4 linked regions of the Lepisosteus oculatus genome follow. The main gene of each other region encodes a partner of the protein of the gene in region 4 in a complex. Links are inferred from orthologs where the notes say so. Each region holds a gene or a part of one and is shown on either strand. Other genes may lie near its edges. The genes, in order: ranbp2, nup85, cetn3 and nup107.

What was found.
Region 1: nup107 (region 4) and ranbp2 share a complex: the UniProt entries of both Homo sapiens proteins name them as parts of the nuclear pore complex. The link is inferred for Lepisosteus oculatus from reciprocal best matches to the Homo sapiens genes NUP107 and RANBP2.
Region 2: nup107 (region 4) and nup85 share a complex: the UniProt entries of both Homo sapiens proteins name them as parts of the nuclear pore complex. The link is inferred for Lepisosteus oculatus from reciprocal best matches to the Homo sapiens genes NUP107 and NUP85.
Region 3: nup107 (region 4) and cetn3 share a complex: the UniProt entries of both Homo sapiens proteins name them as parts of the nuclear pore complex. The link is inferred for Lepisosteus oculatus from reciprocal best matches to the Homo sapiens genes NUP107 and CETN3.

The regions. Positions count from the first base shown.
Region 1 is NC_090708.1:24,300,368-24,307,759, forward strand, and holds the start of ranbp2 (E3 SUMO-protein ligase RanBP2), read right to left. Parts: upstream 3,005-7,392; 5' UTR 2,793-3,004; coding exon 2,721-2,792; intron 1,490-2,720; coding exon 1,422-1,489; intron 1,337-1,421; coding exon 1,225-1,336; intron 585-1,224; coding exon 432-584; intron 1-431. UniProt on the Homo sapiens protein: E3 SUMO-protein ligase which facilitates SUMO1 and SUMO2 conjugation by UBE2I. Involved in transport factor (Ran-GTP, karyopherin)-mediated protein import via the F-G repeat-containing domain which acts as a docking site for substrates.
Region 2 is NC_090704.1:44,419,952-44,427,636, forward strand, and holds the start of nup85 (nuclear pore complex protein Nup85), read right to left. Parts: upstream 3,010-7,685; 5' UTR 2,996-3,009; coding exon 2,888-2,995; exon of another isoform or gene 2,857-2,887; coding exon of another isoform or gene 2,824-2,856; intron 2,105-2,823; coding exon 2,011-2,104; intron 1,913-2,010; coding exon 1,750-1,912; intron 1,206-1,749; coding exon 1,135-1,205; intron 993-1,134; coding exon 949-992; intron 642-948; coding exon 572-641; intron 1-571. Other genes in the region: small ubiquitin-related modifier 2, read left to right, coding at 4,753-4,773, 6,989-7,120. UniProt on the Homo sapiens protein: Essential component of the nuclear pore complex (NPC) that seems to be required for NPC assembly and maintenance. As part of the NPC Nup107-160 subcomplex plays a role in RNA export and in tethering NUP96/Nup98 and NUP153 to the nucleus.
Region 3 is NC_090698.1:72,656,576-72,663,710, forward strand, and holds the start of cetn3 (centrin-3), read right to left. Parts: upstream 3,001-7,135; 5' UTR 2,883-3,000; coding exon 2,866-2,882; intron 1,918-2,865; coding exon 1,782-1,917; intron 1,224-1,781; coding exon 1,109-1,223; intron 719-1,108; coding exon 527-718; intron 1-526. UniProt on the Homo sapiens protein: Plays a fundamental role in microtubule-organizing center structure and function. As a component of the TREX-2 complex, involved in the export of mRNAs to the cytoplasm through the nuclear pores.
Region 4 is NC_090702.1:23,597,633-23,605,308, forward strand, and holds the start of nup107 (nuclear pore complex protein Nup107), read right to left. Parts: upstream 3,011-7,676; 5' UTR 2,731-3,010; coding exon 2,723-2,730; intron 768-2,722; coding exon 679-767; intron 1-678. UniProt on the Homo sapiens protein: Plays a role in the nuclear pore complex (NPC) assembly and/or maintenance. Required for the assembly of peripheral proteins into the NPC. May anchor NUP62 to the NPC. Involved in nephrogenesis.

The sequences.
Region 1 (7,392 bases), on a different chromosome or scaffold from region 4:
CCACTTGAAGACATACTTTGGAGATGTAACTTTTGATAAATACAACCATTTGTCAACCGTTGCATTTTCTACAACTAGCACTCTGTCACCAGGAGCTGATTAAGTTGTTTCTGGACTTGTCAAGTGACAGATTGGTGAAAGTCCGATGTCCTTAGAACCAATTAAGCGATTTCTGACTGTCAGCCACTGTAGAGCAACCTGCGTGATTAGAAGCTGGATTTAAAATCTTAAGACTTTTTACAGTGACTTACTTGTGCAGAACATTCTCTGCTCTGGTTTCATTATGAGCAAATACCAGCCTAACTGGAACTTGATCTGTGGCTTGAATGGCTCCCTTTGCACGAATCAAATTCTAAGAACTGCCAGCTTACATATGTAGCTAAGCCATGAGCAGCCTCCTTCCCAGCAGAGCTCCGCCTGTGTTCACTAACCTTCAGGTTGTAGACTGCAGGGCTCCCAGGGAAGAACTTGGCTGCCTTCTCCACCCAGTACTCCGCTCTGCCATCAGGCTCATCCTTACTGCACAGCAGCTGTGCCACCTTGAGGACCAAGTCTTTCTGCGCAGGATTTAGGTCCACAGACCGCTGCATTGAACAAAACATAAAATACGTGGCCACTGAACTCCAGAACTGCACACATCTCCAACACAAGTCTCTGCCGGCCCCGATGCAAGTCACGCTACTGCAGCTTCTGAAACGTTCAGTGCGTTGCACTACTTACACCTTCAACATTAACATAATCAGACTGTTCATACATCCATTTCAGGGTTGCCCAGTTGATAAATCTGGAAAGCGAACGTCCTCAGCAAACTCCGACAGCCATACAAGGGCTTTTACTAAGTGGTATGTCTGTCGGGCTGACCTCCTTACAACAGTGATCTGTGCATTTTAACCTGTTGGACACAACGACCAAAGTCTTGCAGACAGTTGCATAAAGCAATTTAACCTAACCTTCCATACCTTTTCCCTTAAATATCTGAATGTAATAAGTATGCAGAACAAACCGGCTTAACCCAATGAAGTCCATAAAATAAATAAATGAAACACTGATATTGATCAATGCTTAAGGTATTTTTATGGACCCAGTGACTGGACTTGCAGTAGGGCTGACATCACACTACAACATATCCTGGGTTAAAACGGTCCCTTTCATTCTTCATTCATTTTGCCTGGAAAGCAAAATGGGGGGGGGGGGGAGATTTCTTGATAAAAGCGCAGTTCAGACCTTGTAGCATCCCACCGCCTTCTCGATGTCCCCTTCTTCTTCATAGAGCTGTCCCAAAAACTTGTGTGCTTTAGGATCCCTCTCCTGCACAGTTAAGTAGGCTGAGACATGTCTAAGAAAATAAATAAATACAATTTTAAATACAAATCTTCTTCCTCAGCCAGGCGCAATGGCAGAACCTGAAGGTTTCTGCTTACCTTTTCGCGAGTTCATATTCCTTCACATCGAAGTACAGCTTAGCAAACAGAAATCCCTTTACAGGCTTCTGAAAGAAGAAAAAACAGAACCAGTGAGCCAGCTGACAAAGGACTGTCTGCAGCGAATGCTTATTAAAGGCAACAGGGACTGAAAATCGAATCACATTTATAAATCATCAACTTGCAAGCAGACTGTAAGATTACAATGTTGTCACTTAAAAGCATCACTGAATTATACAAATATACAAACAGTACTGGATACTTAAACTGAAATTTAGATCAGCACTCTTTAAAAGTTTTAACAAAGCAATCTATAAAGTACAGAGCTTTACAAGCTCTAAGGAAAAAAGTCAAGACATACATTACTGGACAAAATGTTCCAGGTGGCACAAAGAACAATTTCTTACTTCACACCAGGAATAGGTGTGTCGCAAACCATGATAAAAATGGTGGGAGGAAAGATCTATAAACGTTTGATTTTCCCCTGAGGCAAAAATCGTGATTATATCTCAATCAAAAGCAGAACAGCCTGTTCCCTTTTTCTAATGTGGTTTCACATTTGTTTTACAAAATGTCACAATTAGAATCAAATATTATATTACCAAACACACTTCTAATCGAAATGGTGAGGTCGAGTACTGTACTTAAACCTTTTGAATGTTATTTTCATCCAGTCTTATTTCAGCTGGTTGCTACTTCCATTCTAAGAAGTCAAACCAAATTGTTTTCTAAGTTATAAGACATACAGATTGTTTTCTTTCAAAAAGTTGATTACCCAAAATATTCACGTATGAAACACTCTGGAAATTGGTTAGAATTCTAGAAGCATCACAGTTATTTAGTTTTCATTTGAAAGTAGTTGTAACAGTGCACCAAACCAAACGACGAGGCCCTCCAAAAATTAAGTTTAAGATCTTGTGTAAAGTACATGTCAACTATAAAAATAGTACCACAAACATAAGCAACGATTACGAAACACCTGAAACTGTAGTTAACAAGCAGCTCATGATCTGCAGAGGAAGCAGGACCGGCGATTCTAAGGCGCTCCGCTCCCACTTTCAAAACATTCGGGCCCGCCGCGCTTTCCTAGGCAAAGGGGGGCTCGACCAGGAACTACGCGTGGCTCCCAAAAGCATGTTTTCAGTGCCCAACACCGAGTTCAAACTTCGTATGTGTCCAGCGTCCACAACACAGAGCACCCCTCGATCCCGTGCCCGACAAATTGATTACTGAGCCCGCCGAGGCCTGCTCTGTTCTCCGCGGCACTCCGGCGGCGACTCCATGCCGGCTTCCACTCACCTCCTTTAGGGACGGAGAGGAACTCTGCACCGAGGACACGTAGCGATCCACGTCGGCCTTGCTGCGCCGCATGTTGTGTTACGAATAAATAAAACGTGCATACACCCAAGAGATTTAATCGCTGAAAAATACGAAAAAGTAACCAGCCCGGTTTCTTCTTAGTTCAAACTCCCCTACGAGTGCGGCTACTGTACCACTCGTAGACAGTAAATGGCTGAAGGAGCCCTCTACACGCCCGCCCAGCTCTGGCGTCAGTCGCTGACAGGAGGAGACGTACTTCCTGAGGGCCTAGCGATTACTTTTTAAAATTAAGTGGAGGGAGGTGGCGTAGACTAGAAAGATATTATGGCGTAGCGCTGTGGGGACACTGTGATGTCACTGGCTTTCATTATTATCGGTGTTATCAAAGTAAACGCAGTCTTTCCATTTATTGAAAGGGCGGGGCAAAGATTGGTTTTATTTTCGTTTTCAAAGCTATTCGGATTTTTTTCCCCTCACAAATTCAGCGCTATCGCTAATATTTTCCCTCTAGGAGCTTTCAAACGCTTATCTGCTTTATTTTGTTATTGCTTTAGGTGTTGAATCCATTTTTTGCATGTTTCTGAAGTTTATACGACTTTTTGAGTGGTGGATGTGCGACTACTTCGTTCATTGAACTCCTGTGTTTAGTTCAACTTCCTACTTATAAATGTCTCTTAAAATACAAAAGTATCTGAAAGAGTCGCAGTACATACTGTCATTATAACGACCACATCTATTTATTTCTAGATAACTGCACGACAGAATGCGCGATCATCTGCATGTGATAAATTATCCATATAATACATTAGTAATGCAAACCCTTTATAAACAACTATATTAATAAAAAGCAGACGGACAGTGCCTGGGAGATTTAGTACAGTAGTATTGGAATAATATTTTCCTAGACCAAGCGTTATGAATTTTAGCAGCCATTTCCCTCCACTCGATTTAAAATATATAATATTTTTAAGGGTAACATTTCAGGGCACAGTGACCAACATTTAGTTCAACAAACTTGAATGCCACCTTTGTAAAAGAAAATTACAACATTTATTGTGTTTAAACCAAAAAACAGCACAGTAACTCTTATGACCTCTGTGCTTAAATTTCAAGTGGTGCAATTCTGAATAAAATTCTTAAGAACTATTTCTAGAAAATGCAGTTGTGTGTAGAATATCAGAATCGCATCGTTACAATCAACTTTCTCATTGTTTCCTGCAATCTGGAAGCAGATTTTTTTTCTCCTTTTCTAGTGTTGGTTCTCAGATTGTTCTTCTTAAGGCAATCTGTACTGAAATCACTAACCCAAAACAATACAAAGTAAAATAAACATTTAATCAACTTTTGGACTCTGAGTTCTTTCATGTCGATTGGGAAATCGATCGACCACAATGTGGCAGTGTTTCTAATTTTAAAGTTGGAGGTGCTGTATGACAGTGTGTCACAGTACATGGTTTTAAGAGATAAATGACACAGTGCTGGAGGAAAGTAGAATTATTCAAGAATCCCAAGAATTGGTACACCACAGTTTAACCATGTGCAGCAAACTATGCACATGTAGTCAGGAATCCACACTTTATGCTTCTAAAATCAAATCATTGTGATGTACCTTAGAAAATACATTTCAGATTGAATTAAAAACTGAGGAGTTTTCAGAGGATTCTGTTGTCAATAATTGTGGAAACTAAGGAAAATAGGTATGTTAATCCAATAAGTCATAATAAATGAATAATTGTTGTATGAAAATGAAAGAAATGGCTTAATGTAGTATTGACCTGCTATAAGATCACCGTAGTAACTCATCAGAAAGTACAACACTGTCTCTTGGCCTATGTACTGTATAGGCAGTCTTACCACTGCAGAGTTTTAAACATAGTGAACACTCGAATTACTCTAGAGGAAGAAATCTCACATAGATATCAACAGCAGTAGCCATCGATTTAAAAATGTTTGATCTCTATGCTCCTGCTCTTTAAGATTTTCTTCCTAGACGCCACAGTGTTTTGTTCTGGAGCTGTGGTGCTATTGGGGAGTAGAAATGGGCTATATGGGGCAAAGTGACACATTTTTTCCACCTAATTCAGTTTCTCCCTAAGTTCTTCAAAGGAAATGTCAACTTAAGATATTTCTCAAATATAAATTATTTTGAAGCCTCTACAAAAAAGAGCTGTGAATTAGTGCTTAAATCATTCTTCCTGCTGGCAATAGAAGTGAATAAGCCCAAGACATTTTAACAAACCTTTCTATATACACATCTATCCATGATCCATCCATGGATGGATATCCATACTCATGATCCATCCATTTTCAGTGGATATTCTACTTACGGGAACCTATCCCAGCAAGCACCAGGTGCAAGGCAGGGTACACTCTGGGCAGGACTCCAGTCCATTGCTGGGCACACACAGACACAAACACACGTTCACACCAGAGCCACTTTTCCCAGAAGGCAATAAACCTACCAATATATGTTTGGACTGTTGGGGGAAAGCAGAGCATCTGGAGGAAATCCATGTGAACAATTAGAGAATTCCACAGAGATAGCACCCCAGATGCAGAACTGAACTCAGAGCCCCAGTGCCATGAGGCAGCAATGCTAAACACTGCACCACTCTCTATAGATACATTTAATTTTAAGGACCATTTATCTCTGTAGTCTATGCCCATTCACTTATTAATCATTTAGTTTTCAACCCTACCTCTCATTTTCAGAGATGATTACAAATTGCAACTGTGTAGTAATAATTAGTAGGACACTTATTCTTCACAACTTTTCCTCCAGTATGGAAATGTTATTCAAACATTCTACACTGAGAAATGAAAAGAGCCGAATCTCTTTGGTTTTGTCCTGTCTATACGTTTAATGTAGTGACACTCACTTCATATCCTGTAAAGCTACAAATCTGGAGGTTTTCTTGGTGACTTAATTTAAGGGCTACAGACTCGTAAAGAGTGTGAATTTGGAGCAAACTGAGATAGCAAATGAACTGTCATGTTGAATCAAGTGGAATGCAGATGAGAAAACTGGCTGGTCCAGAACAAACCACACCCGTTTGCTCTGCTGAGGACAAATATTGTTACTAAGACTTCTACTACTTATAGGGTCAATTAATTACTAGATTAGCGAGACTGAGGAATATCATGTTTCTGCTGTCAGTAGTGGTGATGAGCCAGTAGGTGGAGCTCTTTCTCTGGATCAGCTCAAAACCAGTGTCCCATTTTGGTGATAGGCAGCACTTCTGTAGATGATGACATCCTTCAGATAACATAAACTTGAGGACCTGACTACTTGGTTTCCAAGAAAATAAGTGTGAACTCCAGTTAGGTCTTATATAATCTGACCTCCCTAAATCCTTCCCTTGATTTAGCTGTTGACGGTATTTCATACTCCTCCCCAGATCTGCTGTGCGGAGGGGCTACACATCTGCAGCGGACGAAGTAGACCCCTGGGGAGAGACCACCTGACGAAGTCCCCCAGAATCGAGAAGATCTCAGGTTTTCACTAGTTATGCCTTTTGCCTCTGATTTATCCCTCCAATCGAAACACATTGGGAGTATAGATTCCAATGGAAATTACGATTTCAGCAAACTAAAAAAAGAACAATCACATTATACTGTTACAGTGCAGTAATGCACATAACACATTAGGGAATTATGAACATGGATCAGAGGCTACAGGCATTTAACCCTTCAAGTAAATGATATACAATTTTTATTTCTCAACTTTACACAAGTGTTCTTTTTTATTGAAACTCAATATTGCACATTTTATAAAGTTCATTAAATGCTGAATGGATGTAAATGGCATTCAATCCCTTGGGGCTATGTCAGGAGATTGAGTCGTAGTGAATGTGTAGATTTCAGAGTCAGGTTGTCTTCAGCTCGAGAGTCCGATTATCCAGGCAGTTGCCATTCATTGAATCTTACAGATCCCTCCATGTGTTCCTTAAAGAGCAGGAGTGAATGGAATGAATGGTGCTAACCCAAATGGGCCTAATGGAAAAACAAATAATTCCATCTGCATGGAAAAAGGCAGTAGCATCTGACTGCAACTTGGACATCTCCAGTGCATCACCCAGCACAATCTGAGGCAGACGTGTTACACCAAATGTCCAAACACATGCGGCTCATACTAGAACACCACAATCTGCAATGACTTCACTGTACAAGAGATTGAGAATATACATTTTATTTAATACTGGAGCTGGCTGCTTGAATAATACAGATAAAGATAAAGTACAATATTTATTGGAGTGATCAGTGATGGTTACAAGCAGAATTTCAAGACTGGCACAGAAGCTCTTCTAAACAAAAGTGTGGCATCACAAACTGTGAGAACATGCAACATGTTGAATGACAGTCCAAGACATTGCGACTCAGATTCTTGACCTTCAAAAAGTAATTCATACAGTACACATTTGAATTTCATGTCTCAATTATTTGCACCCATTTTTAGTGTCAAATTTTATCATGGAATGTGTACCATGAATTCATGTTTACTGTGAGGTTTTAATAAAAGAAAAGCAGCGTTTAAGAAGCCTTATTCATCTTTCTGACGTTCATGAAATCTCTTTAGCACGTTCAGGATTAACTGCTGGTAACTCATCTGAATACGAGATGTTAAAATGTTCTTTTGTAAATGGTTTAGGTC
Region 2 (7,685 bases), on a different chromosome or scaffold from region 4:
ACACAGGCAGGGCAAGGTGAGCCTACACAACCATTTTCATCTGGCTGAAGGTCAGTGTGTACAGTGGCTTTCCAGAAGCCAAGATTAACCTTTCATCTCACCTTCCCCCTTCGATCAAATGAAAAATTATTTTTAGAACCTCTCCATCCATTTACAGATTTAATCTTTTCACACCTCTCCCCCAAGTCTCTCTTTGTTTGGACACTTTTTCTCCCCTTTCTTTGTCTCATCTTTCTTACTACGTTTCAACATGGAATTAACCTTTATTTGTTCCACTACATTCACGCTGCTGGGAGACTGAGCATACAGGAACTACTGTTAAAACCGCAAGCTTCCCATCTTGACCAGATGCAATTAATAAACCCTTTGTAAAAAAATCACCATCCAAATTAATAAATGTAATTAATTGTAATCACTAGGAAAGATGGGAATGTCATACAATACTTTACAGAAACTGGAAGGGGCCAGGTTTACCTTCACAGAAACACTATCAACCTTTACCCAAAAACTAATGTTCACGAGCTCATGTTCATGAATACAGTCTGTAAAGTTGGATGCATAAAACACAAACCTGGGGCAGCATCGATGAACAAGACTTCACATAGATTCCAGATGAGCTCCACTGCCAACAGAATTGACACCTGTATGGATATGCACAGATCTTTAGTTTGTCTGGAGAACGTCAAGGGGTAAAAAGACCACTCTGTCCATCTTTAGTTACTTTCAGCCTTATGAGTTTTACAGTTTCCTAATTGAAAGCTTTTGAGTTTCCACAAAACGTCTCTTGACGTGATTTTTTTACCTCCTCCCCAGCAACTCTGCTGAAGCCCAAGGGAAGATGAGAATTGCAGCAGTGTCAGAAGCTATGCTTTTCCACAGTTTGCATGCAATCAATTCAGTTACATCAATGCGTATGAAGCAAGAAGCTTCAAAAAGAGCTTTCCCAACCTGATTGCCATACTGTGTTGCTAGAGCCGCGTCACGTGCAGAAACTGCAGGGAACAGAAAAATCACAACAAATTAATGGCAGTGCTAAGAAACCGAAAAAGGATAGTTTTTAAAAAATCACCCTGCAGATACTGCTGTCACAGCCATGAGACATGTTCTGCATGACAGGAGTGAAACTCTTGGTACCTGCATTCTGTTGGAGCTCCTCCATACAGGCCCGGATCACTGATCGGTAGTTCTTACTAATGCTGACAAACCTGCAAATACAGGAGGACAGTTCAAGCATCCTGCATCGTGTCTGGGTTTGCTGTGAATTGTGCAGAGAAGTCGTTTAATCTCATTTTTAATTCTCATTCTCAGAGAAGTCACTCTTACAACCCCTTGAGTTTTGGGATGTGTTATAAATGTTACATGTTGTTATGCGTTATACTGTACATGTGCAACAGAGTGATGTGCAATGTTTTTCTTATTTTTATGTAATAGAATAATGTGCAATGTTTTTCTTTTCTTTTGTTTGCATTCTATTTAAATGTACAGGAGTGCTAGGTGTCCATAAAAAAATTCACACAGGGGACAATAAAAATCTTATCTTATTTGACCACAGCATTTAAAAAAAAAAAAAACTTGAAATGGTACATTACTCGTCACAATGACCAGATTCATCCTGCATGGATTTTACCCCACATGGATGAGAAACGTTACTACGACAAAAGAACAGAGCCCCCACCCACACCCCCGTCAGATACTCAAAATCAGTAAGCCATCTTTCTACGGATCTCCATGGTGACGGAGGCCGTGTACCGAGGCTTCTTGGCCTTGCTGGCGGTGTCGTCTGTGCTCTTCTGCAGCTGGACGAAGATGTGGTGGGACTCGTTGAAGAGCTTGCGCAGGATGGGAGAGTAGATGTCTTCATCCTTCCTGACCATGTGGATCCACGGGCAGCTCGCAAACGCAGCCGGGGCTCCTGACGGGGCGATCAAGGAAGAACAAGTCTCCGTTTGAGCTGTAGCAAAAAAAGAATCACCCAGAAACAGGCACCGTGTAACGGCAGGGAAGCCTCACCTGCTGTCTTGTACTGAGTTTCATAGGTCAGTATGTCCCTGGGACCCCACACAAAGCCCAAGTGCTTCTGCCTGAAGTCAACACCTGGGATGAGCTGCAAAATAAAATAATAATAATAATAATAATAATAATAATAATAATATACTTTAAATCGAAACCAGGAGTCAGACAGGACACTAAACGCGTCTCTGTGCTACCTTTTATTTTCTCTAATCAAGTGGTCTTGTTCAGGACTGAGCTGTGCATTACGTTTTTTTTTTATAATTAAGTTAAATGAATCCTTTTGTCAAATCAGAAAGGGGTCCTGAACAACATGTTCTCGTTCGCAGTGAGCACCGGCACCGGCAGTGAGCTGCCTGACTGAGAGAAGACGACAGCGGCGAAACGTCCGGGATTTGAACTCACGACCCTCCTCCTGCCCGGCAGACCAAAAAAAAAAAACCCTTAACATTTACTCCTAGCTGCAAGAAAAGCGATCCCCTGAAACCATCTCCGAACAATAAAAAGAGGTCGTGAAATGCTGTGCAATAATGTTTCATGAAGTTCTGAATGACCAAATATCCTAATTTCACCGGGATCGCGTCAAAGCGCTGGCACAACTGGAAACGTGACAAATTCAGCCTCAAATTCAAACAGAGGCGAAGACCACTCGTAGTCTTTATTACAGCCGCCTCTTCTTCATTTCAGGAGCTAGCAAACACCCGCTTTCTTTAGGCAAATGTGCGACTACAAAACTGAACAGACATCCCTCTACAGTGTTTCTATACGGTTCCCCCCCCGAGTTACAAATTATAAACCAGAGAGAGAACATACTGTTGTGGTCGGCTCGACATCCACCTCCTCCATTTCCTACCGAAAATGAAAAAAAAAAATAAACCTTTGCAAAGATGTTTCCTTCCGCAATAAGTGAATCAAAAAAAAATTCGCATGTGTAAGAAACTAAGCGCATTGAGATTTTTGTAAAAAAAACGAGACAGGACCCCATGTGCCCGGGCTTGAGCCGGACTGTCTACTCAGATGCCTGCGTAAAATATTGTGAAAGCAAAAGTGTTGAACGCAGCTGATGGTTGTTCCTGGGTTTCATATCTTTTAAAACCGCGTTTAGGCATTTGAGTTTTTGTGTGATTTATTCACCACGAAATACGGCAGTATTTTAGACGTGGACATATTTGTTTCAAATACATACTTTTTAAAAAATATATATTTTTGTGATCATCTGTGCTGGAGGGAACCTGCTTCTCAAACGAAAGGAACTGGTCTCTCTTTTCACATGTGAACTGGAACAGAAACATAGTGGGGGGGTATTTTTAAACTGGAGATTGATTTTTTTTTAAATATAAATGATCATTTTAATGTTTGATGAAAATACAAATGGACGCATTCAATTAACTACTGGGTTTACGTTCGAAGACTACTGATTGTGGTTCTAATGCTGATGTTTAAAAGGTCAAAGGATATGGTCGCTTACTTCTTAAATAATTATTTATTTGGATGTCCATGTGGCACAAAGCACACTTTTTCATATAATTTTGGGTCTAGCTGGTAATAAACCTGCCCCTTCGAGAGGGGAGAAAGAGAAAGGCTTTAAAACTACTTATTCAAAGATGTCATACAATGACATAATACCTTTAACAATTCATGTTTATTTAGAAAAACGACCAACCACAAATCCTTCTCAATAAACACACCAGATACAGCATCAAACATTTAGAACTACATGAAACAGAAATTCTGTTGTTATTACTACTGTTGACACACTGTATAGTGTGGCTATAATAATCAGTGTTCAACGTTTAAGTGTCAAAGAGCATGGAGGAACCACTATAAATTATGTGATATATGCATATAAGCTTCAAAAGAGTTTTGCAAGTTTGCTTTTCTTACTTTAAGAATCTAAATGTAAGGGTAAGTGGTGTAGTTATAAGATATAGGTAATTACTATTGTATGATGAAGATAGGGCCTGCCCCTGTGGTGAACCATGAGCAACTGGGGGTCAATTTCCCAGTGTCCCAGTAAATCTTGCATTTCATATGCCTGAAATGTTGGAAAGCACAACCCAGGGTAATGTTTATTTTAAATGGCAAATTCATGAAATTATGTCATGGAATTGGAATTTTGGCATTTACAAAATAATTACTTTGTCCCGCGAAGAGTAAAGCTAATTATTAACACCTTCTTGGAAAATGTCTCTCTTTTAACTGAAAAAAAGGGTTTGACTGTGTCTTTGTACTGTGGATAATTTGTAACTGGTGAAAAACAACCCACCACACAGGAAAACAAGATGGCTTCCACAGCCTGCTCCATCAGAATTTTCCAGAAATTGTCCTTTGGTCACCTACATTCCCAGAATACACTATAATTATGAATGTTGTTTTAAATGTCTATCCCAGAAGCCAGGGCATGAGAAAAATGTTACTTTTCGGTCGAGTGGGATTCCTTTATGCTTCTCTCTATCCGTGTAAAACAAAACAAATTAAAAAAGATGAACATAATTTTTTCGCCATGCGCGTGCACGAGCGGCGGCGCGGCGGCCAATAACGTGGATGACGTCACTCCCGCCTAGGCGAGCACGGGGAGCCGGCCCTCGTGACCGCCTCCGTCCAGTGAGCAGCGGGCGCCGCGGACGAGCAATGTCTCGTGCCCGCGCACGCCATGCCGGTTTAATGAGTCGGCGGCGAGGACGTGCGCGCTCCCGACTTACTCTTTGTGTGGCGGCGTAGAGAGACGCGGAGAGGAAAGCCATGGCGGACGAAAAACCCAAGGTGAGCAAAAGAAAAAGCTGATTACGAAATGCCCGCGTCTTCCTCATACGCGTTATTTCCTAAGTGAGATCGATTCATCGGTATCTCCGCTGACTTGTGAGCCAAGCGATCGGCGAAATCTACCGCTGGTCTAGCACCGGAAGGGATGTGAGCGAGCCTGCAGAGGCGGGCAATCAGAAAAGATCTTAACTTTTTTTTTCTTCTTTTTAGTAGTCGTTTTCTAAAATCGAGGAGTGCCCCGCTTCTGCGGCACGCCGCGGAGGGCGGCCGGGGGCCCGTCCTGGGGGCGAGGGGGCCCGGTCTGCTCTCCTTGTTTTGGGCCCAGTGTGGACCTCGCGTGTGTCGGGCTGCGCGCTCATTGGGAGTTGATGTCTTCCAAAACACCCCGGCGGCCCGGGCTGCCCGCTGATGCCCCCTCTCTCCCCCGGACCACCGCCGCCGGTGGTGTCAGGCTCGTCTTTTTCCCCTCCCCGTTCGCTTCGGGAGAGGCCGGGTTGGGATGTCTGGCGTCGGGAGAGACGGGGTGGGTTGGGGGGACGGGGGACGCACCTTCCACTTTCCACCCGAAGTTTTGAGCCGCTTCTAAGGAAGGGCGACCTCCTCCACAACACACGGGTCGGAAGCCGGCAGTGGTAAAAAAAAAATAAAATAAAGAAGACCCTTACGGATACATCATCTGTCCCACCTCCGCTCTCTACCTGAGCAGATGATGGTGCTCACCAGATGCCCAAAGTGTAGCTCTTCCGTGCGCAGTTGGTCTCGCTGTCTGTGGGGGGGTGGGGTGGGAAGTGTAGTTGTCAGACCTTTCCCACGAGCGTGGAGATATTTTCATGGACACGAGCATGCCGACCGGTGACACAAAGGTGTGTGTTTTTTTTTAACCTGGACAACTGAAGTCATTCGTTAATGTTTACAGTACTTTTCTCAGACGCACAAAATCGCATGAGTAAGATAGTGGTTTCAAATAATAAGTAGACATTGTAGACTTATAATAAGTTGTGAACAGGAGTAAGTATTCTAATTCATAACATTTATGTGCTAACTGCAAAACATGTGGTTTTTCAGTCTCTAATCCAAGAAATATGTGGATTTTATACTTTTATACTGTGCACTTTTACGTACCCTCTGTAGAGTTAAAACCGCTAAATGTAAGCTTATTGTTGTTTAAGCGCTGGGAAAAAAAAGTTTTGTGGGTTTCCGTGTTGTGGAAGATAAGCTGTGGGGACAGTTTGCTTCACAGCCTTACCTTTAAAGTGACTGCTGTCTTATTCCATGGGACTCGGGGTTTTTGCTGGCGACAGTGCCACGCAGTGGAAGGAGAGGAGTAAGCACAGGAGCACCGATAGGAATCTGGGGGGGAACTGCGAAATGTTCCTGTAGAATTAAAGCAAGCCGTGCGTGGCTTAAAGCTTCTTACAGGCCTTGCAACCATCGTTTGGCCTTTTCTGAACAACATCTAGTTTATGCTCGCTGAGCCAGACTTACCGATTCCTTAATCCCTTCTTCTTAGTTCAAGCTCCCAACTCTCAGGGGTGGTTTTAGCTGAGGACACCTTGCACCGAAAGGTTTAGGTTTTGTGGTTGGCCTTCCGTGTCAATCACCTGTGCAGTGTATGTGTAGGTCTTAAACTTTTTTTTTACAAAGAAGACATGGGTGATGTGACGCGAATACACAACCCATTTATTTTCATTTTGTGTGAGCGTTTCTGTAGTGGCTTGAACGAGATGTATTCTGCAGTCCCTCTTGTTAAAGAATATCTATCCCTGAGAACGAAATATGTGGTACATGCTAAGGTGGGGATTTGATATAGAAGCATTTCTAGTTGGCAGGAGTTTTTCATTGATCTAGAAGCAGTATAAACAACCTGGAGAAGATTCATCACAGTGTTCTTCATTAATGCATTCTTACCAGACTCCCTCAACGGGAATCCAGTCTCAGATTCCAGATGAAGAATGTGAAGAAGGAAGACTCTTGAAGAAGTCTTATCCTGATTTTATGTTTTTCACTAAAAAAACCCAAGTTGAGCTGCAGCATCTCCTTTTTTTCCCTCTGTTGGTAGATCTGTAGACTTGAGTAATTTGCCCTGTTTGCTGCTTGAGTATATGGAGAATGCCAACCAGGGAAGAAGAAGGATAATAATGTGAAGACTCACCAGGCAGAGGCTTCCCACAGAATGAGCAGGTTCTTATTGTGTCTTGTGGCTTCTGTCCTTTAGGAAGGAGTGAAAACGGAAAACAACGACCACATTAACCTGAAGGTGGCGGGGCAGGATGGGTCCGTGGTGCAGTTTAAGATCAAGAGACACACGCCACTCAGCAAACTCATGAAAGCTTACTGCGAGAGACAGGTATGGCTGGGGAGCAGCGTGTAGGGGTGGGGACATGCACAGCCTTGGGTTGGAGGTAGGCACTCAGCTTTTAATGCCATTACTGCACATCAGACATTGGTCCCTGACATCCTTGGGGTTTCAGTTTCCCCAGGGGCTTAAAATGCTTCAGAGCTTAATAGAATATTTTGTAAATGGTATGTATTCCTTCATTTTCAAATGCAACGGTAACATTATTATGAGTGACAAGTTACATACATGTGGGAAACATTTAGGGATTTTTATTCTTCTTTGAATGTTTTTTTATGTAAGATGCCTAAGGCACTAGAAGCTGTTCAGATAGACGGCTAAGTGTTACTGGTGTTTAATGTAAAACACCCCCTGCTTCTTAGTTCTAGGTGTGCAGGTTTACTCTGCGGAATGATGCTTTTAATCCAAACTCCTCAGAGGCTTGTCAGGCTGGTTTAGGATTATTTCCCTAGCAGCATTGCTCTATTAAGTAAAATGCGTTTATTTTGGGATGGCTTGGTGTGAATAATGTTGTTTAAATGGGCAACTACAGGGTAGCCTGATATCTGGTGATGCA
Region 3 (7,135 bases), on a different chromosome or scaffold from region 4:
TCTACTTATTGTAAATGAATCCTACAGAACACCTACCTGGATATAGAGAAACACTCATAGGGCTACTGACATTGTAAATATGTTCACATTTTCAAAAACAGATCTATTTCAAGCATGACTGCTCCCTACCACCACTTCAAAAAAAATGCACCTCAAGTCATCACTGAGCTTAAATATCTGGCCTCTACATAAAACAAACAAAATCAGTCTCCTGCTGTGGGAAGCTCTGGTCAAGTTGATACAAAAAGATCCTATGTTCTTACAATGATGAGCAAGTAAACCGATCCCGTTTCTAAGAAAAAATATCAAGGTTCAGTGTAAGTCGAAGCTAAAATTATTTTAAGTTTAGAAGAGCTCAAAGCATTTCATTATAAATCTTCAATTGTTTTCAAAATGTTCTTTTTTAAAAAACAAATCTATCCTTCTGACTAGCATTAGTGTTAATATTTACAAAATACAGCCTATTACTACACTGCTTGGAAACAGGTGTGATAATTTAAAATCTTCTACCAAAGATCTGACTTACTTTCCCCATCCCCGTCTTTGTCAAATTCATCAATCATGGCCCGCAACTCCTCATCGGTCATATTCTCCCCAAGTTCTCTGGCCACACGGCGCAGGTTTCTGAGACTGATCTTCCCAGAATCGTCATCGTCAAAAAGCTTGAAGGCCTTCAGAATCTCTTCCTGGGGATCTCGATCCAGCATCCAGTCTGTTACTGAAAATAGTACAAATCTCCACATGTAATAACAAAACAGGTCCAGTATAGGTGTGGACATGTAATACTGGAAACCTACCCAGCCGTTCTCGCTTATACATTTACATTTTAACCCAGAACGTGACAGCATTTTTTTGTCTAAAGCCTTATTCTCTGACTCGCCCAAAACAACTCCCTGGCTTCAAATTTGCATCAGCCAGAAAGGTCTAAGTTGTGGTTCAATCTGAAACTTTGTTCATTTCACAACAGCTCTGTGTTCAACATTCACTTTTATTTTGTAAAAGAAAATTAAAGGATGTATTTAGTGTGTTTAAAGAATTAGAACTTTGTTTTTACAGCCACAATATTAAAGCAAAAAAACATATGGTATTTTAGAGACAGGTTTCTTACCCACTTCATTAAAATCTTCAAATGAAATCTTCCCAGTTCCTTCGCGGTCATAATCTTTGAGTATTTTTAAAACATCTGCTTTCTTCACATCAAAGCCTAAAGCTCTCATTGCAACCTTTAAAAAACAATGGGTGCTGCATTAGTGAGATTACCCTATAGTTGAGGATATCTTAATGATCTAGGGATTAATGCCAGAGGTGCACACCCTTTGCCTGTGTACCATAGATCCATTTAAGCTTCACTCAATTAAAAACAAAGGGGCGTCTAACTAGATATTCCCTTCTTTTTATCCAAAAGCTTTGTTTTTCTGAATGAGGATTAAAATCTATAGGAGCCCTTCAGTACAATTCACTTTTCAATTCAAGTTCTACCTCCATCCAAACATCTAGAAAGAAAAACATTTTCATACTTGTTACCCATGCACAACTGAACTCTGGGAACTTAAAAAAAACTGCATTAGGACAACTCCAAATATATTTCTAGTTTCTCTAGGATGATCATAATGCAAATTCCAGTCTACATCAGAATTTCATTCCAAAGTTGAAGAAACCCCACAACAATTTACAGTTATCATTTCCCTTTAACCAAAGCGAAGCCCCCAACAGTGCAGAAGACCGTTTCCATAAAGCCATGCCCATTTCCCTGTGAACATCTCTCATGGCTCCATACATACCTTCAATTCATGATAATCGATTTCTTTGTCTTTGTCAGTATCAAAGAGATCAAACGCCTCTTTTATTTCTTGTTTCTGCTCCTCTGTCAGCTCTCTCCTCTTCTTTTTTCTGTTTTTGTCAGCTGCAATCTCTGTCCTGAAAGGTGGAATTTGCAAAAAATCGCAGACATCTGGTGAGCCATGTGTTGGAGCTGCAGGAATCTTTAAATCCTGATTGAATTCACCCCATAATTGGGCTCAGAATTCCTTTGCCTGGAAAATCTTATCCATTTTAACGCATCATCGTGATTAGGGATAACAGATAGAAATTTCTCCTTTTCAGATGCAGATGGTTGTATGTGTAATGGCTTTTGTGTTGTTGTGTATAGACTGAAAAACGTTCAGAGTGTTCTATAAAATTAGCCCAGAGGCATAATTCTTATATTACATGTTGTTATACTACGAAACGAGATTCAATCCACCTAAAGACTTGACACCCATTTAAAAATGACAGATGGATGATAGATGATGGCTGTTATCTTTGTTGTTTTCTGTTAAAATGACAGTATACAACTAGGTAAACATATCTTTTGTCAAGTGAAATATAAAAGTAACTGATCGTCAATGTTAATATAGTTTTGTTTATAGTCTTTCAATGCCGAGCCATTCTCATATTTATACAAAAATAAAAAATAATCCATTTGTCGAACAGATTTGCCTGCTTGGGTAACATTAAATATTATACCAAATACAACAATGCACATTATCGTCATCTTTTTTTCCGCCTCATTACATATGGGTGGGTGAGATAATGGATAAATGATAATTTTTTCTCTGTCTTTGTTGACAACATAAAGGCGACCACAAAGTTTTATAAACACTACCGTAACTCCCTGGCAAGAGCCATGAAAATCAGTTTTGCTTTATCTCTACAATCCCTCACCCAAAACGTTTTAAATAACCGAAGACTGCAAAAACTATTCTGTTAATTAAAAACACATCTGACATTTATCTCCTCGAAGCCTTTAAGACATTTCCACTACCCAGCTAAATAAAGGAAGACACACTCAAACACTGAAAAGCTGAAAGGTTAACGTTTACATACCTCAACGACAAACTCATTGTTTATTTTTAAATGTCTCTAAAAGCCGAAATACACTTAAAAAAAAACAGATAACTCTCAACCAACTGTAATCTCTACCGCCAGATGTCGATTTCAATACAATACAAAGACCCAAACAAATCCTTCAACGGTCGCCCACAAACTGATTTGTTATTGGACGGAACTGTTGTGGGGGCGTGTCAAGGAAGACAACTAATATCATGATTGGTCCTTTACTTGTCAATCAAGACGCTTTGCTTGTCTGGTTTGGTTGTAAAGCAACGGTTTTACCCAGGAGCCTTTGGGAGGGACTGAAGTTTGAGTGACTGGAGTAGATGTTTGCTGGCAGTATTTTCTTAAACGTGCTGATTGATTAGTCGAGATTAGCGTCTCAACACGGTGTTTTTATATAAGAAATCTAGCAAGATACTCATAAAATGACACTTGAAATAAATTATGGAAATTAACGTTGTCATTTTTTTGCAATACGTTAGACTAATGAGTAAAACTGCTACAACATTATCACAAGATAATTAAGGTTAATCATGATCTTAATCATGAATTCAAGTTAAAAATTTTTTCTTTATCGTTGCTTTGCAACTTTTGCAAATACATCCACGCACTGCACAAGCAACACACTGCACTGATCATCCTGTATTGCAGTTTTCCCAGGCAGAAATCACCTGATATCTTCTCTGGCAATCATTTGATTTGCTGAGGCTCTCTCAGTTCACTTGTGGCTCTTGAGGTGACTGCAGCCCCCCATACAGAAGCTCAAAATGTTTCCCAGCCGGAGAGAAGCACTCCCTTTAGTAGTTCAAGTAGGGAGCTGCGTCAGCAGGCGCAGGCTGCAAAGGAACAGGTAAAGGTTTATTCCCTGCTGAAAAGAAACGCAACGTCTCGGCTTTCTTCAGGCATGTCTTCTTCCTATCCCCACAAAGCAAAGCCACCAGCCAGCAGCCATATCACCCTGCAACTCACAACTGGCAACCCACTGAAGCTAAGCAGGTGTGAGTTGCAGGGTGATATGGCTGATGGCTTTGCTTTGTGGTGACTCGTTCAATGACAAAGTTAAGTATGGCCAACATCGAAGCTAACCTGGATGGGAGACCTCCTGGGAAAAACTAAGGTTGCTGCTGGAAGAGGTGTTAGTGGGGCCAGCAGGGGGCGCTCACCCTGCGGTCCATGTGGGTCCTAATGCCCCAGTATAGTGATGGGGACACTATACTGTAAACAGGTGCCGTCCTTCGGATGAGACGTAAAACCGAGGTCCTGACATTAAAAATCCCAGGGCATTTCTCGAAAAGAGTAGGGGTGTTACCCCGGTGTCCTGGCCAAATTTCCCATTGGCCCTTACCAATCACGGCCTCCTAATAATCCCCATCTCTGAACTGGCTACATTACTCTGCTCTCCTCCTCACTGATAGCCGGTGTGTGGGGAGCATTCTGGCACACTATGGCTGCCGTAATGTAATGTAATGTTTCTTTATTAGCCCTATACAATTTCTTGCATTAGGAATTCGTCTTTTCGCATACCCCAGCTTTTCTCCAGGGAGACACAGACACAGAGACAGGGAGAGAAGCTTGGGGTCAGAGCGCAGGGTCTGCCATTGTATGGCGCCCCTGGAGCAGTTGGGGTTAAGGGCCTTGCTCAGGGGCCCAACGGAGTAGGATTCCTCTGCCAGCCACTGGATTTGAACCGGCAACCTTCCGGTCACAGGCGCAGATCCTTAGCCACAGAGCCACTGCTCCGCCCTAAGAGGCTGTTTCTGCCCGGTCTCGAACCGGGGACCTTTCGCGTGTTAGGCGAACGTGTGACCACTACACTACGGAAACCCAGGTGGATGCTGCACATTGGTGGTGGTGGAGGGGAGTCCAGTGGTGGTGGAGTGTCCAGAAAAGCGCTATATAAGTTTAAACAATTACTATTATTTCTTAAATTTACATTTCTGATGTACTATAGTTTGTGTAGTGACTTCATGAAGAAGGCAGTTTCTTGCTTCATTCGTTTTAATGTCCCTGTTCTGTGCTTTGGCAATTTCTCCCAAAGCCCTGGCACTACTGACTGAGGAGTCTGCAGAGACACTTCCCAGTCGCTGTAATTGACACGAAGTGATATCCGTTAAATATAACATCAGCGGCTCTCCTGCTGCGGCTTGAAGGCTGGCCTTGACAGACACTACCCTGGCCGCAAAGTGCTTCGCCGGGACAGTGCTTAACTGGGTGGGACAGATCGGAGGAAAATCGGGTTGCTCCTGGAAGTGGTGGTGGTTTGCCAGTAAGGAGCCACTCCTCCCTGAACCAAACAAGAAATTACTGCTCAAGAAGGTTGCACTGTGTTATGCTCCTAGTATGCTACTGTTATTTCATACCCCATTGCCATACTGACAAAAGAGGGTTTGACGTGCCTGGTGTCCTGGCTATATTTCACATCATTTTTTGTTTCTAGATTTCTCCTGTGTAGCTAAACTGGATCTGTCAGCAGACTGTCGCTTCTTCAGCTCGTCTGCCTTGCAACAGGTGCAAAACGAGCTGCCACCCATCAACACCAGGGGGCGCTACACTTCAATGTTTGCCCTCGGCTGCCCGCACGGCTCTCTGGGACTCCTCAACATTACAAGCGCTGTGCAAATCCAAGGTACTTCAACTAGGTACGTACAGTAGGCTTCAAAGGAACAAGCTGTATCAGAAAGAATGAAAGCATACCATTCCTGTTGCTTCTGGTAATTCCTGCTTCTCTGTCACTCTGAATATGAATGAATGCAGTTAACCTTGGTCCCTTTTCTACCCAATGCCCACAATATAATGGGATTATACTTTGGTAGCCACATAAAAAATAACAATGGAGGAACATTTTTCTTATCATCTTTTATTACAGTGGAATAAAAAGCAGTTCATTTCACAAGTTCAAAACATGGGAAATTTCACTCATATCATATGGTATAACCAAGAATCTCCCTATTCCAGAACACGTTTTAGGTTACTGGCTTTCTTTTAATTCACATTTCCCCAAACACATCACACAATTTACAATTCAAGGCCTAATATAATTAACATATTCATATTGTCTCTTCTTGCAATTGAAATGGAAGCACAATGCTTGTTCAGCAGATTATTTTCACAATCAATATTTCATTTAATGTGCAATTTCTATTGGACATAAAACACAATTCTTGTAAAGTTCACATTATCAGATTTCGGAGCATGTTCCATTGCAACATAGTGTTTAAAATACTTTGTCAACATTCAACTCTCTACCACACATTAGCTTCACTGAACTTTCTGCCATGGAAGAGTATGTGTTTTTTTGTATTGAGATTAATAAGTTATTACCTGAATTGAATGTTGGGGAGGTGACAAAGTGTGAACAAAACAAACCTTTATAGACTGCCAATCCTACGATTCAATTGGTTTTATTTTACTTGAATTGGAAATGATGGTCAGTAGTTAGGTAGTGTAGTTGGTAGGTTTTTGCTTTACATGTAGTGTAGGTAACACTTATACGTAAAGCAAAAAAAGAGATATTTCCAGAAGCTATGGCACATGAAATAGGTGATGATGTAATGCCAGCATTATTGTGGTACAAAGAACACAGCCCCGAAATATGTCTACCATTTCCTGATGCCATTTCCTTAAACAATGATCCTCTAACCAGACATTATAGTTGAGAACAGATTCTCATCTACGGGGATGACCTGGCCAAGAGTTTATTCCAATCAGCAAGGACAATCAATCGATAGAAAAATTACAAAAAGGAAAGAAGAGATGAGAACTGGCTAACAAGAGCAAGTGTGAAGACTGAGCAGCCAGTCGCATAGTCCAGGTCTGGAGTACGTGTCTGCATTTTCAGAACTGCCATATTTAGTGCCAAACCAAGTGTCTACTTGTTAAAGCTGGACTGCGAGTGAAGGAAAGGCTGAAACAAAGCCCAACCCAACCCAGGGGCAGAAAATGTCTTGGGTGTTGGGTTTCCTCGTCTCTCTGATGTCTGATAGGTTGTGGCAACACCTGACCACAGGAACCCATCAACGCTTGTACAAATTCCAAGCTTTCCGTGTTTTGTAAGGTTAAGTAATGGAAAATGTTAAATGCAGAGAGAAGGGAACATGGCCAAATGCCACTGAAGCTCAAGTGTGGTAGGAAAACCTCCGATTAAAGATGTAGGAGAAAGCAAAGCCGCTACTTGTCTTTGCAACTATTTGAGTTGCATTGAACTTTCGACCAGTAAAATGCCAATTCAGTATCAAGCCACAATCATGTTAAAATGTTAACA
Region 4 (7,676 bases):
AAGCTTCTCAGCGCCAATGCTCTCATTAAGTTTGGAGATTTTTTTTCCCCAAAAAATGGGGAACATTACTTGTTCACTGTAGCGTGAGTGACTTGCTTTTGTTGGCTGTCATTTTAGCGATGGGTATCGTTATTGTACTGATGTGCCCACAGTCTGTTTTTCCTATATCAGAGCTTCAAATTCACACCGGTAGATCGCACTGGACTGGCAAACGAAAAAGTAGATCTTACATTAAAAGAGGTTGGGCACCCCTGGTCTAAGTCCTTTGGTACCCCCTTACTGATTTGACATCATTCCCTGCCGCTCCTATTTTGGCGTCCCAGACAAACAAATCTGACAAGTCGACGCAGGACGCTTGTGCAGAATGAACACACGGGTCCGAACTATGCTTCCTCTCCCTTCGTGACCCTGTTTTCCGCTCACTAACAAGTTCTCCCATCATGCAGACCATGGACTATCTTGGATTCACACAGCTATCTATTGCTTTTTTTATTCTCACGCAGAACGTCACAAAACAAGCTGGAGACAGCACACTGCTGACTCTGCCTGTATCCTCCACTCTAGGGTCCAGCAGGAAAAGGCAGCATCAGGGTGTTTATTGGCTGTCTCCCCGGGCCCACGCCACGCGTTTCCCGCCAGCTGCGGGACAGGGGGCCGGGGGACACAGGGAAAGGATACAGGCCACCTTCTTCTTCAGGCTCCTCCGGCGGGCCGCGCGCGTCACCTCCAACTCCCGGACCACCGGCGACATCAGGTCATTGCTGCCCCTGAGACAGACAGAAATGTCAGCCCCCCCATAAAAACCAAAAACAAAAACACAAAGGCGTCTTTAAAAACGGACATGAAATATTGCATAACCAGGACTGAGTGCTCTTCCTGACCCCTGGCGGCAGATCCCCTTAGGCAACATGTCCATTTCCAACCGCATGGTGACAGGTGTCTTTTTAAAGAAAAAGAGCTATGGTGTTTTATCTTGCTGTGGGTAACTGTAGACACGAACAGAACTGCATCTCCCGCCATTAAGAGCAGGTTATTGCTAGTTTTCTGCTGACACCGCAGCTCGAGGAGGAGGGTCTTCGCTGGGGACAAGGGAAGGGTGTGATAAATGACGTAAGGACCTTAAGCCGGCCAACAAGGGAAGGTCATTGAGCCCATCCAGCCCATCTGGTAGCTAGTAACTAACTGATCAGAGGATCATCCTGCTGTCTGGGCAGAAGCCACAGCAGGGATCAGCTTTGCAGTATGTTCCAGGCTCCCACAACCCTCGGCGTACAGAAGTGTCTCCTGTTCTCCCCTTACGTTGTGCCCATTGATTCATTTCAGGACTTATTCTGAAGAGGCCCACAAGGCTGACTGTGGCTGTACCTCTGGGGATTCGGAATATCTCAATCAGGTCCCGTCGTAATCTTTTCTGTTCAAGACTAAAAAGATTTTGTTTGTTTAGCATGTCAGAAGAGGACATTAATACCAGGACTGTACTCCCAGAATATAGCTATTTTCTGAACAAAAACTGAGTGCTGTTCTAAAATGAGCTCTTATTTGTCTTATTTAACTATATAACCTATTTGATTTTTGTATTGTTTTCACACATTATAAAGAAATAAAAAGATGCTACCATAAGCACCCAATTATTTCTAAATTTGTGTTTCCCATTTTGTACTTCGTGCTAGTTTCTACAATCTGCACGTAACGCTCTGTCTAGATTAAATGTCATCTGGCAGGTGAGGTGTTTGCCCAGTCTGGAATTCTAAATCTTGAATTTACTTGGCTGCTTTCATAGTGTTTGTTCATCCTCATAAACTGGTAGCATCATATGAACTCGATTGTTCTCCACGCCAGAATCTAGATCACTGATAGAAATCTGGTAGAGCACAGGTCCCATGTCCCTATGGCACACCACTAATAACATCACCCCAGCTAGAGCATTCATCCCTTACCCATGTTTTTATTCACTACCCTTTAAATTTCAACTCCTAATAATAAAACAAACATTTATTTGAATACTTATCACCTACAATGTTAGAATTAACCTTTTAGAATTAACTTTATCGCGTTAATCTGCCGCTGGTGCTCTTGCGTGTTTGGAGAACTCTAGCAAGTGTGTTTGTTAAGCGAGAACTACCCTTTTCCAATCCATGCCGACTATTCCCTAACCTTTTTCTGCCATATGGAGGATCCTCTGCTTTCAACTGTCGTTTCCATAACCCCACATACTGTACATTGACAGTAGTAACCCTGAGCTCCCTAGACATATTTTGTCCAGGCGTTCTCGGTATGCTACTTTCCAACAGCAAAGTACAAAGCTGATGTGCCGTTAAACGCATTATATAGTGGAATTGCTAAATACCTTATATAATGTTCATTCTTTGAATTAACTCTGCCTACATCCTTAAATAAAGAGTCCAATATATCGATCTCAAAATGAAAAAATAACCGTTCAGTTCAATGTGTTTATATTACGGGCGCCTGGAGGGTCGAGTATCGAATCCATTTCCACCCATGTACATCACAAATGTTCACAAATCAACGTCGGGTACCCGTCCCACAGCTCACTGTAACAGGTGAGATGTGTTTCACTAGTGTTGTACCCCGCGGCCTACCCTCCAAAACTGGCATGCCACATGTCTCCACACTGCTACGGTACAGTGCAGAACACGGGTATAATAACCATTAAAAACGTGCCACAACTAGGTCGGGAAGAAGAGAATATGCAACATCTTACCACTCCATCGCTGCAGCATTTATATCGGAATAGTCAGTAGTGGACAGAGCGACTTCCCACTCCTTCTTCCCGCTCGGCCAGGGGGCTTCTGTCGAGTCCAGAAGTAGTCGATTTCTAACTCAAGAACGGTTTACCCTCAAGACCAGGTCTTCCTTCTGAACTTAAGAAAGCATGGATTTATAGAACCACCTTTACTTTTCGTCCTCTATGGTCACAACAACACGGAATATCTCGAAAAAAGCTGCTGTCTGAATATTTTACCGGCGGGCTGGCCGATCGGTGAAATCGGAGAGCGTGTAGGATGCCTCGTCAGTTGTGGTAAAGAGGGTACACCGAGGAGTCCGCTAGGCCTGCAGACATCAGAGCGCCACCTAGTAGTTGAAACACGAACTACTACCCATCCATTTTCGCTCCTCTAGTGTCGTTGAGGGGCTCAGTGAAAAAAAGTAATTTCTTACATTATACTTACAAAATGAGTAATAGTGACAGTAATAATAAAGACCCAGAAACCTTATCCCAAAATTAAATTATTTAAGTCTTTAGTGATAAGTTTTAAGATTAATTAACTAATAAAAGTATTTAATGAGAAAGTGTAATGAGTTTTTTGGACCAGTAGGACTCTTTCCCCGATAGTGATGAACTGTTTAAAACATATGAATAAAAAATAATTCACAATACAAATACGGTTTATTATTTTTTTCCAGCTCAAATTGTTTAACTTCTTTTCGAGGGTTCGCACCAAATGGTGATAAATTCAAGAAACCGTATTCTGCACCTTTCATATCAAGCAATAACCGACTTAGGGAATGTCCCAGGAAGCTTTTTACAATTTGTACGGCATGTAGACTACATCCAGACTTCATGGTCAAAATCTAAATTACTTCGTCTTATAATTAGGTTACTATTCGGTGATCAACAAATGTTAAAAAAGATCCAGAAGCGCTGGGAGAAAGAAGAAAATCCTGTTCTTGGTTTAAGGACAGAGGTGGGTGTCTGATTCAGAATACAGTAGACATTGGGTCCTACTGTAGAGATTCACAGCGGCCTTCTGTTACAATTTGCTAGACCCCTTTCAGGACAGCTGTAGCCTTCAAATCATTGCTCGTGGCAAGTCAGCACGCACACAAGTTACACGATTGCCCCTGAAGTGCTGTCTTTTGGCCACAGTGCTTTAATGTGTAATAAATAATAATAATAATAATAATAATAATAATAATAATAATAATAATAATAATAATAATAATAATTGCTTACACTTATATAGCACTTTTCAGGACACTCCACTCAAAGAGCTTTACAGGTAATGGGGACTCCCCTCCACCACCACCAATGTGCAGCATCCACCTGGATGATATGACGGCAGCCATAGTGTGCCAGAACGCTCACCACACATCAGCTATCAGTGGGGAGGAGAGCAGAGTGATGAAGCCAATTCATAGATGTTATTAGGAGGCCATGATTGGTAAGGGCCAATGGGAAATGTGGCCAGGATGCCGGGGTACACCCCTAGTCTTTTCGAGGAACGCCCTGGGATTTTTAATGACCACAGAGAGTCAGGACATTGGTTTTATGTCTCATCCGAAGGTGTAGTTTTCTGTTTACTTCAGTGCTGAAAAGCATGAGATTCAAGTGTTCCTATTGTCACAATAGGCACGAACGGTATGCAGAGTTATTTCTAAGAAACACATTTGCGCTGGCAAACTGCATGAAGCCCATGCACCACGCTGTCATGTTGTCCTCTGACACACACATGGGGTTTAGTCATTGTATGAAAAGGGTGGGTAGAAAGAAGTAATGTGAAACTTCTGTAGACGAAGCCAGCTCTACAACTAGGCAGGCACAACGTTGCATGTAGAGGCTAACGAAGACAATCTAATAAATAACACACACACACAAATACAAACAGGATTCATTAAAGCTCTGTAAAGTGAAAATAGAGAAGAAAAACACAATGTTCCAGGTGTGGAGTCTTCCTGTGACGCTTCGTGAGTTCTGTGCTTTTTTTTTTACCTTTTCAGCACGGACTCGTTCCTTCGCAGCTCCTAAGCCTATAGCTGCGCACGCATTAACACTACAGTTAACACTAACATGTCCAAAATTGTCTTGTTGTGCACTTGTCATTCCCCCTTTAGGAAGGTACCAATCCATTTTGACATTTCCATTTGGCTAATAATGGATGGGGGGAGGGGGGAGAGGGAATCTTTTTAAACTTCTGTAATGGCAGTTTTGAGAACATTTCTTCAGAAAATAAATATTTAGGCTACACTGAAATGCTGCTTTTCAACTTTTCCTCCACAAAATATTTATTCTGTAAACTTGCATAAGTTTATCTTGAAATGTGATGGTGAACGCGATGGTAAACGATACACTGAATGGCTGCATGAATGTAAGAATGTTTATAAGCGTGTACCACTGTTTAGTAGAAAAGGTTAATACAGTATGTCACTCTTTGTGGGCACTTTACTGAACAAGGCTATTGTCCTAGCTTAAAAACAAAACAAAATAACCCAGACGCAACCCTTTATTCTTCCAACTCAAAATAGAACACGACTCCTACGAGCAAAACCTATTTCAGGATGTCACATTGCGCAAGAAGTGTCCAGACATGCTTTAGCGGCCTTTTTGCTCTCTGTTTAGAGGAGGAGTAACACCCAACCCAGCTCAGCTCGTCTTTGGGACCGATACACAGCAACAGGATCTCCATATCGTCTGAAGAGACACATCTGCTGTCTGCCAGCTATGCAGGCTCCAGCACACAGTTGCAGACTGTTTAATGAATTGATTTGTCAGCTCCGTGTTCTTAAGAGGATTCAGACTGATTAAGATTTTTTTCAATTAGATTCATTTGGCGACTCCAGCATTGCCAGAGGAATGAGATCGGGAAGGGTAATACCTAGGAATAAGCTACACGAAGTATCGAGTAAAGCAGAAATGGACATATGCATAGTTCGCAGTCCCTTATTACCAAACATCCTAGCCACACGCCACAGCAGTGCTGGGTGTATTTGATTTTCGGCTGTGTTTCACATATTTTTATCGTAGCAGCCTTCGGTAAAGGGATTACTAGACAAATCAAAGAGGGGAAAAGTGCTGAGTGCGTTTTGCATTTTTGCAGTCCAATTTTGTTTACCTTACGCATTTCGAGATGCAAAGAAAGATTAAAGAGCGTTAAGAAAAGTAATTCTGTAGGTGCAGAATAAGATACCAATCAACAGAGGGGTGGTTTGTGATTAAAATAATTGAATAGAACTAAAAATAGACCCCCCCATCGAGAAAATAATGAGGAAAAAAGTAAGACACCTATTTACGTAAATCATTCGGTGTAAATCCAGATGGTGTAATTGACTGCAATAGCATCGAACTACATTTCACGGCTGTTATTTTTACATATAAATAAACTTTAATTTCATTTCAGCATAAATTAAATCAATCTAAAACATTATGTATTAGGGAATTCGTGCTTTATAAAGTAATTCTTGGTGGAAATACTCTACTCACTGGAAATGTTCCAAATGATATAAATTGAAAGGAACGTGTTTCCATACCAATACACAACTTTCAGGACTAGAGTCGGAATATTTGGCGAGGGGTTGAAGTAGGCTTCATGTATAATTAATATCTTCGATATTTTTCCCAAATGGGACGATAAAGCTAGCATTGAAAACAGGCGACTGGCTCCTCCCAAAGGCTGAATGACAGAACTGCCAGTTGGGGGCGCTACAACACCCGGAGACACTAAAGAAAGCCACCCGCTGAGTCGTCGAGGAGCGCTTGCTCAGCACGGGAAGAGCAGATCCCCATTGGAACCGAGTTTCAGACACGTCTGAGCTCACACAAGTCATGCGATCGGATTCCTTTCGAATCACATCTCAATACAAATATAACCAAGAGGAGGTTCATAAATTAAAACGGTCATTCACTGTATTTTAACAGCACAAGAACAGTCAAGGAAAAAGGAAAGTTCCTCACAAGGTGAAATGGACACCAATTAGACACTGAAGGGAAATGACTCATCGAATTAAACAAATGTCTCACTCAGGTATTCAGTGAGGAAGAATTTGACCTCATGCCTCAGGCTGAGCAAAGGAAGTTGCATGTTATTCACAAGAAGAGAGTGTAAGCAGTACTTAAAATCTCTGGGGCCTGAATGTATTCGATAAATTGTACTTCTGAAATGAGAGATGTGACTCACGGGCTGGTAACTCTTCCAACAGCCACAGAGGAAAGGGGCAATACCCACTGACTGGAAAATTGCTCACAAGGCCCATCCTGTCATCCCTAAGAAGGTGACTAAACTGAGCTGAATAATTATAGACCAATAAGTCATACTTCTGTTATATGTATGGGTATGGAAACTAAAACTGAACTAGGTGATCTATACAGCAATAGGATTCTAGCTATTAAGCAGTGTAGATTAAGAAAAGATGGGTCATCACACAAGCCCTTTTCATATACTGTATAGCATATTTCAAACATAGGAGGGGTCCCTAAATCCAGCACCAAAGTGCATCTCCCACCTACTTGACAGACGGCAGTTCCACCACACAGATCATTTGAAGAAGAGAGAAAGTGATTCACCATTTGAGTTACAGGGGAACTTTAGGGAGGCTGTCTGTGCAAGTTCAGGGTGCCAAGACAGAAGGGTTTACACTCCTTTTCTGACAAGCTCTGCCACGGATTCTTCAATGACTAGTCAAGACATCAGTTTAATGTCCACAGTACCTTACAGCATTGCGTAGTGTCCCCATACCGGTCTAGAGGAAAGTGTGCCACCTACTGACCCCCACCCCCTGAAGCAGCAATCAGATGTCCCTTGAAGATATTCCATCCCAATATTAAATATGTTCAGAAGTGTTCTGATATAGATTCTGAAATTATAAGTAACAGGCATTCAAGAAAATGTGTGTATTTGGAATAAGAACTAGGCTGTGGATAGAAGAACTGTATCCAGACT